Daphnia pulex: one gene and its partner. The protein of the gene in region 1 binds, or shares a complex with, the protein of each later gene. Links are inferred from orthologs where the notes say so. Each region holds a gene or a part of one and is shown on either strand. Other genes may lie near its edges.

Region 1 (5,228 bases):
CTAAAGTTTCATTGTCCAAATTAAATTGTAGTCATTAATCACTTTAACAGTTTTCATTGCTATCTGTAAATGTAATCAATCAATGGAGGTTAGGTTGGTGGGAATAGGTGTAGACCAACTAAAAATGAAGTTGATTGCATGCTATCATCATGCAGCGTTCCATCAAGAGAATTGGCCCGAGGGAATAGAGGGGAGAAGAGGAAAGTAATATGAAAAAAAGAGTGGCCCATACTTTCCCTTTCCCCCCTTCTTTCCTCGGGCCAATTCTCTGTTGATTCGTTAACGAAAAAATTAAACAACAGGGGAACACATTTTTTTAAATACATGGAATGTGATCTGGAGACACAAATTGCTACACATACTAACCAAGATACGTAGCAATTAACTGACAGAAAAAAAATGGAAAAAAAATTACACACTGATTCAAAAAACCAACTTTGTATTGGGAAAACAAACTTTCAGCCAAGGACCGGACCCATATTTCGGACACTGTACCACGTTAGACAGGGTCGGTAAAAATAGTAAAAATCATTTTAAAATCAAATTTTTCTACACTTTATTTTTTGTAGTGTAAGCATTAACTGTTATAAGTTTCATAAAAATCTTATGATTATTTCCTGAGATATTCAAGGAATAAAAAAACACGGGAAAAATGCGCAAATTTTTTCCCCACTAATTGTGCAATTGAACCCAAGTTTGACGGATTAAGTAAAATCTGCTCACATAAAAACATTTGCCTACACTATTCACCCAAATTTTATATTTATTTTGAGAAGAAGAAACATGGGTCCCCTTTTTTTTCGTACGCCCTCCTCCCTCCCATTCGTCCCATTCTCCCTCTTCTCCCCATTCTTTCCTCAAAAAACGTAAACAACGCGTTTAATTCATTTTTAACCAATAAATGGGAATTCAAACAAATAAATAAATACATAAAAAAATTCCCTGTTCAATTCCCTATTTCCCTGTTGCAACAAAATTTTACCATTTTAAACTAGAGTAAAACTACAGACTAAAATCTTTCGTTTTCTTTCTTTCCACCCAAATTTGGGTTAAAAGCCAAAAACAGTTCCCCGCAATATTGATAGGTGGCTGTTTGGAAAAAAATCGCTGTTCGGATTTTTTTGCAGGATGGAGTAGTTGGACATCCTGCGTTGCGCATTCTCCGCAAATTCGAAAATCTCATTTGTGTCCAACTCGGTCTGTGTCGCCTACAGCGTCTTATGGGAAAACCAACTTCTTCCCGTTAAAACAGTTGTTTTCTTACCTATAACTTTGATTTCCCCCCTTTTCTTCCTAACAGTGAATACTTTATTCATTTCTCTATTACCTAATTTTTATTTCTATCCCCAATTCCATCTGGTTAATTTTTAATTAATTTTTGTTTGTGACTGGTTTTTTTGTTGTCTCCTGTAGCAGAAGAATTTCGTTCGTAGCGTGGTCGATTCTGTCTAGAAACGTCTAGAAACGTCTGCTACAGGAGACGAACAAAAAAACCAGTCACAAACAAAAATTAATTAAAAATTAACCAGATTGAATTGGGGATAGAAATAAAAATTAGGTAATAGAGAAATGAATAAAGTATTAACTGTTAGGAAGAAAAGGGGGAAAATCAGAGTCATAGATAAGAAAACAATTTTTTTACCGAGGAGAAGTTGGTTTTCCCATAAGACGCTGTAGGCGACACAGACCGAGTTGGACACAAATGAGATTTTCGCATTTGCGGAAAATGCACAACGCAGGATGTCCAACTACTCCATACTGTACATAGCATTTCATTTGGATTCAAAAAGGCTACCAAAAGCCGTCACCAGATGGGGGTTTTAACACTGACGGGCAATCCGGCAATCTAGTCTGCACTCGGCAGTCGCCAGCTCATTGAAACCAGAGTTGCAAAGTTTTTCGATTCCATCCTCCAGCTTGTCCAAAAAACCAGGTGGCAACTGGGTGGCAATTGGCAAGTTTGATCACTGATATTGCAGTCCTGCTGTTAATTTCTTTATCATCTTCTGCAACTTTTCCAGAACAACACCATGCCTACCATAAGTATCAATAGAGATTTACTGTTCAAAGCCCTTGGAAGATCTTACAGTGAGTTGAGATCACGTATTTGCTATAAGTTCTTTCAGTTAAACTTCAATTTAACTTAGTTAATATAATGTTATTTCTATATTTAGCGGAAGAACAGTTTGATGAACTTTGTTTCAAATTTGGCATCGAACTTGATGAAGTTGTAAGTACCCCTCCCCCCTAAAAAACCAACAAACAAAACAATATGAATTGTATTTGATATGAAACTTAATGTGTTCTCCCTATGCAAGTTACTCGTATCTATTTTTATTATTTCAGACGAGTGATAAACTCATCATTTTGAAAGAACAAGGAACAGAACGATCAGCTGGTGCATCAGAAGAAATCATTTACAAGATTGATATTCCTGCCAATAGATATGACTTATTGTGTTTAGAAGGTCTTGTGCAAGGTCTTCAAGTATTTTTGGGAGAGTAAGATAAATTCATAAACAAAACAAACTTATCATTAAATCAACAAATACCACTTTTTATTATTTCAATTAGAAAGCAATTTCCAGCTTTTAAAGTTGTTCCACCAGTGACAGTTCCTCAAAGATTAATTATCAAGCCTTCGGTGAGTCGTCATAAGAAATTTGTCATAATTATTATTTCAATTCAATACTATTTTTTATTACAGACTGCATCAATAAGACCACATGCTGTTGCAGCAGTTCTTAGAAACATCCACTTTGACCAAAACACTTTCAGTAGCTTCATAGATCTTCAGGATAAACTACATCAAAACTTGTGCAGGAAACGTAGTCTTGTTGCAATTGGAACTCATGATTTGGATACAGTCCATGGTCCATTTTTCTATGAAGCACTTCCACCTGATTCAATTAAGTTCAAGCCATTGAGCCAGAGTAAAGAGTTTACTGCTTCTCAGTTAATGGACTTGTATTCAGTAATCTATCTATCAATTGTGTCATTTTATGCTTTTAAAAATTAAAGATAATCATTTTTTACTAATTCAGACTGATAGCCATCTTCGCCACTATTTACCAATTATACGCGATAGTTCAGTCTATCCTGTTATCAAGGACAGTAATGGAGTAGTTCTTTCTATGCCACCTATTATCAATGGTGAACATTCAAAAATTACCTTAGATACGAAAAATGTTTTCATTGAATGCACTGCTACAGACCTAACCAAGGTAAATTGCCTTTATGAAAATGCAATTTTTTAAATTGCTTCTTTAATTGTTTAAATGTCTTCTTTTAGGCTAGCATCGTTTTGGACACTTTGGTCTGTATGTTTTCTAGGTACTGCGGGGATCAGTTTACTGTGGAGATATGCGAAGTAGAGACTCCAGAAGGAAAAATCAACAACTATCCGATTTTAAAAAATCGACATGAGAAAATCAGTGTTGACAAGATCAATACAATGGTGGGTATCAACGAAAAAGCTGACGAAATCGCAAATTTACTCACCCGAATGTGTTTAACTGCCACCGTGGAAGGAACTGGTTCCATTTCGGTAAAAAAAATGTAATGGTTAAATTATAGGATTTTGAAAATTCATGTAAAAATATTCCCTGGCAGGTTGAAATACCCCCCACTCGTCATGATATCATTCATGCGTGTGATGTCTATGAAGATGTGGCGATTGCTTTTGGATACAATAACATAACCAAAACTCTACCGAAAACTAACACCATAGCTTCACAGTTTCCCCTAAATAAGCTGTCAGATCAGTTGAGAGACCAGCTTGCTCAAGCCGGTTTCACAGAGGCTCTCACATTTTCGTTGTGCTCGAAGGAAGACATAAGCGAAAAGCTGAGGAAACCTCTGAACTCCGTTCCTGCAGTTCATGTTTCCAATCCGAAAACTTTGGAGTTCCAAGTAGCACGCACGACCTTACTTTCAGGTTTGCTCAAAACTATCGCTGCCAATAGGAAAATGCCTTTGCCCATGAAGGTAAAACCTATTTATTTAATAAGATAAGTTATAAAAGTTGTAAAACATATGGTTTCTGTTCTTCAAGCTATTTGAAGTATCCGATGTGGTAGTGAAAGACAGTCAGCGAGATGTTGGAGCTCGTAATTGCCGCAATCTGTGCGCCGTTTATTACAATAAGTCGCCTGGATTTGAATTAGTTCATGGTTTACTAGATCGCTTAATGCAATTGTTGGAAGTTCCACTGGATCAGAGTGGCAGCAAGGGATACTTCCTGAAACCATGCGAAGGTTCATTTCATATACTGCATCAATATTTTGATTACCTTCTTCTAAAGCTATAAAATTTACAGATGCAACTTTTTTCCCCGGACGATGCGCCCAAATCATTTTTGCTGGCACTGTTGTCGGAATCGTCGGAGTCTTACATCCTGATGTTGTGACATCCTTTGATTTAAATCTTCCATGTTCAGCTTTGGAGTTGAATATTGAACCGTTTTTGTAAGCAGTTACAAGAAATAAATGTGGTCTGTCATTAATGAGAAGCTAGTGTATTATTGAAAAATGTGAAACTAAGCGTTACAATTTAATCAATGAAGAAATCCTAATTAGGTAAACAGGGAAAATGTGCATTTAAACATCATGGAGTACGAATGAAAGTACGGCCGGTGATCGTTTTCTTTTCCACCGTTTTTGGTTCAGGTCGAGCTCGGTTTAATACTTTCAAAAAATCAGAAGTTTTGGCTCTCATGCGTGAATGAATGTAGGCTTTGCTACATTTGATGTGGTAGTGCAAATAGTCACGGAAGAGATGAATCAAATTAATGGTATTTTCGCGGACGTTTTTGTTCGTATGCCGTGGAAACAAGACTAAAAAGAATTATGACATAAATTTTACAGAAATCCATGTGTAAAAATAGAAATGATTTCATACCAAATGTAATGTATCCAATATTGTCACCAATTTTAGCATTTGTACTTTGAAGTTCCAGAGGAGGTTCTCGGTGAGAAAAAAGAACTTGTGGGGCAGTGTGAGAAGCTCGGCGACCTTCGCGAAGTTCTTGTAAGAAAACTTTACCTAACACAATATCATCCTCATCACGGAATACAGTGCTGAACACTACTGTTACTCTGTCTGCCTTAGCTTCTATGTACAATGTCTCTTCATCACGATAATTGATAACTGCTCTCTTGTGCCCTTCTTCACCTTATTAGAAAAGAAAAATTATAGAATTTCAGAGTATTGCTTTTGCTCATTATTTTT
Region 2 (4,744 bases), on another chromosome or scaffold:
ACACTAAGAAACATTCTTGGTGGAACTGTTTTTCGAGAACCCATTATTTGCAAAAACATTCCTCGGTTGGTAACTGGATGGACTGCTCCGATCATCATTGGTCGCCACGCTCACGCCGACCAAGTAGCTTATAATTTGTCATGTGACATTACGAAAGTTGATACTGATGGTTCAATTTGATTTAACAGTATAGAGCAACTGATTTTTTAATCCCTGGAGCAGGCCAATTGGAAATGAAATGGACTGCTGCTGATGGATCCACAAGCATTGTGCATATCGTCAATGACTTCAAGGGTGCTGGAGTTGCTATTGGAATGTACAATACTGACGATTCCATTAGGTAATTGTTTGGTGCAAATTCGAATTCAAAGGCCAGGACTAATTTATTTCATTTTGATGAAAGGGATTTTGCTCATTCTTCGTTGCAATACGCTCTGCAGCGAGAATATCCTCTCTATCTCAGCACCAAAAATACTATCTTGAAAAAGTACGATGGTCGCTTCAAAGATATTTTCCAAGAAATCTACGATGCGTAAGTCTACATATTTTATACGTACGATTACATAAAAATTGACTAACTTCGTGTGCGCAGAGAGTACAAGCCGTTGTACGAAGCCAAGAAGATTTGGTATGAGCATCGTTTGATTGATGATATGGTTGCATATGCTATGAAATCGGAAGGTGGGTTTGTTTGGGCATGCAAGAACTACGATGGTGATGTCCAGTCAGACTCAGTTGCTCAAGGGTATGGATCTTTGGGGATGATGACTTCCGTCCTCATTTGCCCAGATGGGAAAACTGTTGAAGCTGAAGCTGCTCATGGAACAGTGACCCGCCACTACAGAATGCATCAGCAAGGAAAAGAGACATCCACAAATCCTATTGGTTAGTTACTGTGTTCTCGCCCGCATCGCAGGCAAATACGTTTTTCAATTTTCTTATACCAATAATGGTTATTATATTAAATCAGCTTCCATTTTCGCCTGGACGCGTGGACTGGAGCATCGTGCAAAGTTGGACAACAACGAGCCTTTGAAACGATTCTGTAGCGCATTAGAAAGCGTATGCGTTGAGACTATCGAAGCTGGTTTCATGACCAAAGATTTGGCCATTTGCATCAAGGGAATGAATGGGTAATTTTCGTTAATTTTTTGTGCGATAGAATGGAATGGTTTATTGATTTTGTATTTCTATATTCTAGCGTAACTCGAGGCGACTATTTGAATACCTTCGAATTCATGGATAAGTTAGCCGAAAATCTTAAAATCAAGTTGGCGTGACAACAAAAAAGAGCTTACGAGTCTTCATCTGTGACCAGCAGATTATAAGTTTAAAGTACTCAGCATAATTTTTTTACCAATCATATATCGTTCGATAATTATAGAAATGTTGGGAATTGGAATGTTTACAATAAAGCTGTTATCGAGTTACTATTATGTTTCTTTGGCGTGTACTTACTTATGTCTGCATGGTGTAGCCGTGTAGTCTCATTTTAGTGCGGTACCACTAGAATTTGTTGGTATGTTCCATTTTATCGTAAGGGTGAAGGCTCAGTAAATTGCTGGCAGTTCCAACCCTTTATTCAATAATCTGATATAGCCTACTAACTGAGGATAAATGATCAAATTATACGAAAAATATAGGTAGCATCTGCATCTCCATCTTATTATACATGTAGGTCACTAGGTCTTCTTTCATCTTTGGTACCGTACTCCTTTAATTTCATATTTCCTATTATTTATTTCTTCTATTATTTTATTTCATTTTACTTTATTTACTTCTAAATTTGAAATGGATAAAACTATTTTCGTAAAAACTTGTTATTTTTTTAATTTTAAACTTGCGCTCCTGCCACTTTCCGAACTTCGCATTATTCACAAACAACACACGTTGTCAATGCAGGAAGCAGACGAATTTTCTTCCTGTTGTAACGTCACGCTCTTACGGCTCTTTTAGTCCTCTAAAATAATTACGTCAGATATTTCTGGCTAGTTAGGTTTGGAATAGTCCGTCGTTTGGTTTACGCACCGTGACTAAAGTCTTATTAGAAGACTCAAAACTAAAGACTTAAGTCTTATACTTTTCCCTGAAGTGAAATATGGCGACTGCTCACGGTGAGAAGGTTTTGAAGTATTTGGAAGAAAATGGGACTGCCAGTTCACTTAAACTAGCTGAGCTTTGGAATGAAGATCACCAAAAGATCGTTGGTACCGTGAAAAGCCTTCTTTGTCTTGGAGAAGTGAGTGTACATTTTATGTTACATTATATTTAACTAAGCTTGTGTATTATATTTTACCACTACAATAGATTAAAATGCAGTACATGTAGCTTACCTAAAAAATGGGAAAACAAACAACAATTTTTTATTTAATTTGGTTCCCAGGTAATTGAAGCTGATCTTCAGAGCTCTGCGCTATGGGATCTCACTGAAGAAGGAAAACAGGTGGCTAAAGATGGTAGTCACGAAGCTCAAGTTTTCAATGCTATCCCACCTGCTGGAAGTACACAAGCAGAAATTGTGGTATTTTGAATTTAATCATTAAATGTCAGAAACATTTTGCCATTTTTGTAATTCACTAGGCTAAAGTTACTGAAGTGAATTCTAAATTCACAAAAGATATGGCCAAAGTTGGTTTCAGTAAAGCCATGTCACTTGGTTGGATTGTCGTTGACAAGAGTTCTGGAGCTCCCAAATTCATTAAAAAAGTAACTTCTATTCAAGATAAGGTTCAGGAACATCTTAAAGAACTTGCCACTGGAAAAGACACACTCACCAATGAATTGAGAACTGAGTACAAAAAAAGAAAACTTATCCAAGAAATGTTAGTATTATAAAATTTTGTCTCCCCAAAATCCTGTTTATTACCAATCTTTGTTGTTACAGAATTATCAAGAGTTATCTGATGAAACCTGGCCCATCATTCAGTACAAGTGTCACTAAACAAGAGACTGATCTTACGCCTGAAATGATCGCTTCCGGTTCATGGAAAACAAAGGAGTTCAAAGCATACAATTTGAATGCTCTTGGGACTCCAATTCCGCGAGGACATTTGCATCCCTTAATGAAAGTACGAGCAGAATTTCGACAAATATTTTTGGAGATGGGGTATGTTCCTAGTTAAAAATATTTAGAAATCAAATTCAATTATTAATCTGAATTTGGTCAAATCAGATTTACTGAAATGCCCACAAATAATTTTGTTGAAAGTTCCTTCTGGAATTTTGATGCCCTTTTCCAACCTCAGCAACATCCTGCACGAGATGCTCACGACACCTTCTTCCTTTCTGGTACTTTACTTAATTTACCTAGTTACTTTGTTAAGTTTCTGTAATTGGAAATTTTAAATCTTTTAGACCCGTCAACAGCAACAAATATCCCTGTCGATTACATGGAGCGTGTGAAAAAAGTACACAGCCATGGAGGTTATGGTAGTCAGGGTTATGGATATGATTGGAAAATAGAAGAAGCGCAAAAAAATCTTCTTCGAACCCATACCACTGCCGTTAGTGCGAGGATGCTTTACGCCCTTGCTGAGGTATAGTATGAGTGAAAAGTCAGCATCCTTCAAAACATCAAAATTTGAAATCTTAATTAACTTTTGTCCCCATTGTGCAGGGTGGTTTCAAACCGGCGAAATACTTCAGCATTGACCGTGTTTTCCGAAATGAAACGCTTGATGCTACACATTTAGCTGAATTTCATCAAATCGAGGGAGTCATTGCAGATTATGGCCTGACACTGGGGAATCTAATAGGTGCGAGTTTTTTTTTTGTATCGGCACTTTTGCAACTCATTTCATCTTTTTCAAATTTAAGGAGTCTTGTATGAATTCTTTCGCAAACTGGGTATTGAAAAGCTGCGGTTTAAACCTGCCTACAATCCGTACACTGAGCCCAGCATGGAAATTTTTAGTTATCATCCTGGCCTTAAAAAATGGGTTGAGGTAGTGAACTTTTCCGTGTACTTGTTACCATTGTTTTAAAAAATTTCACAAACATATTTAGATCGGAAATTCTGGAATATTCCGACCGGAAATGTTGTTACCAATGGGACTTCCTGAAGACGTTTCAGTTCTGGCATGGGGTCTTAGTTTAGAGAGGTACTAAAATACTGCTAATATAACTTTGTGTATTGAATCTAACTAAAATGTACTCATATATTATTTAGGCCGACGATGATTAAATATGGCTACGATAACATTCGGGATTTGGTGGGCCCTAAAGTGAACATACAGATGGTAGCAGACAACCCTCTCTGCCGACTGGACAAGTAACTTACATCCACCATGTCATATGTTTGTTTATTTTATTTGTTTTTAAATACCTTAACATTTCATAATAAGTTTTCTCAAGTGAAACACAGCTTTCATTTTAAACTATTTGGTTTTGTTGATTCAAGTTAAAAGTTATTGATTTTTATAAGGTATCCTTACAAGCAAAACTTGTTTTTCCCTTCCAGACACCGTGGTTCTGAAATGAAGGAAACAGACGATTTGCAGGACTTGGAGAATCGCATGGATTCGATCATGACTCGACTACGTGGCATTGAAACTGAAGTGAAGAAGTTAAAAAGACAAGGCAAAACTACTGAAGAAAAATTAACTCTTGTCATAGAGGCTGATCCGAAATATCCACCACGATCAATTCAAACCTTGGTGAGACTCCTGGTAGCTCGAGGAGATGCCCGTACCATAGTGACCGTTCATCAGCATTCATCTTTGGCAAGTGCTTGTCCAACCGATTT

Evidence for each region. The genes of interacting proteins can lie anywhere in the genome.
Region 2: the proteins of phenylalanine--tRNA ligase beta subunit-like (region 1) and phenylalanine--tRNA ligase alpha subunit A-like are in contact, whole or in part, in a crystal structure (PDB 3L4G), measured with the Homo sapiens proteins. The link is inferred for Daphnia pulex from reciprocal best matches to the Homo sapiens genes FARSB and FARSA. Residues at the interface, in NP_005678.3 of Homo sapiens: Glu26, Phe29, Gly32, Leu33, Pro68, Ala69, Asn70, Ile150, Arg152, Asp259, Thr261, Lys262, Arg305, Lys316, Lys317, Val318, Gly319, Ile359, His360, Cys362, Asp363, Glu366, Ala369, Ile370, Tyr374, Asn375, Ile377, Gln378, Met379, Thr380; in NP_004452.1 of Homo sapiens: Ser221, Gly222, His223, Leu224, His225, Leu227, Leu228, Arg231, Ser232, Arg235, Leu239, Gly242, Phe243, Thr244, Glu245, Pro247, Asp249, Asn250, Phe251, Ile252, Glu253, Ser254, Phe263, Gln266, Gln267, Phe277, Phe278, Leu279, Arg280, Asp281.

Annotation. Positions count from the first base shown.
Region 1 is NC_060024.1:1,044,239-1,049,466, forward strand, and holds phenylalanine--tRNA ligase beta subunit-like, read left to right. Parts: upstream 1-1,845; 5' UTR 1,846-2,030; coding exon 2,031-2,088; intron 2,089-2,174; coding exon 2,175-2,230; intron 2,231-2,346; coding exon 2,347-2,501; intron 2,502-2,573; coding exon 2,574-2,643; intron 2,644-2,706; coding exon 2,707-2,973; intron 2,974-3,043; coding exon 3,044-3,223; intron 3,224-3,291; coding exon 3,292-3,546; intron 3,547-3,611; coding exon 3,612-3,986; intron 3,987-4,053; coding exon 4,054-4,255; intron 4,256-4,317; coding exon 4,318-4,469; 3' UTR 4,470-4,503; downstream 4,504-5,228. Other genes in the region: probable actin-related protein 2/3 complex subunit 2, read right to left, coding at 4,605-4,834, 4,899-5,171.
Region 2 is NC_060018.1:5,962,843-5,967,586, reverse strand, and holds the start of phenylalanine--tRNA ligase alpha subunit A-like, read left to right. Parts: upstream 1-1,912; 5' UTR 1,913-2,098; coding exon 2,099-2,239; intron 2,240-2,383; coding exon 2,384-2,521; intron 2,522-2,580; coding exon 2,581-2,822; intron 2,823-2,884; coding exon 2,885-3,106; intron 3,107-3,172; coding exon 3,173-3,288; intron 3,289-3,354; coding exon 3,355-3,536; intron 3,537-3,616; coding exon 3,617-3,755; intron 3,756-3,816; coding exon 3,817-3,944; intron 3,945-4,005; coding exon 4,006-4,100; intron 4,101-4,168; coding exon 4,169-4,270; coding exon of another isoform or gene 4,271-4,274; exon of another isoform or gene 4,275-4,295; intron 4,296-4,459; coding exon 4,460-4,744. Other genes in the region: isocitrate dehydrogenase [NADP] cytoplasmic-like, read left to right, coding at 1-123, 189-340, 404-532, 593-885, 971-1,133, 1,202-1,280.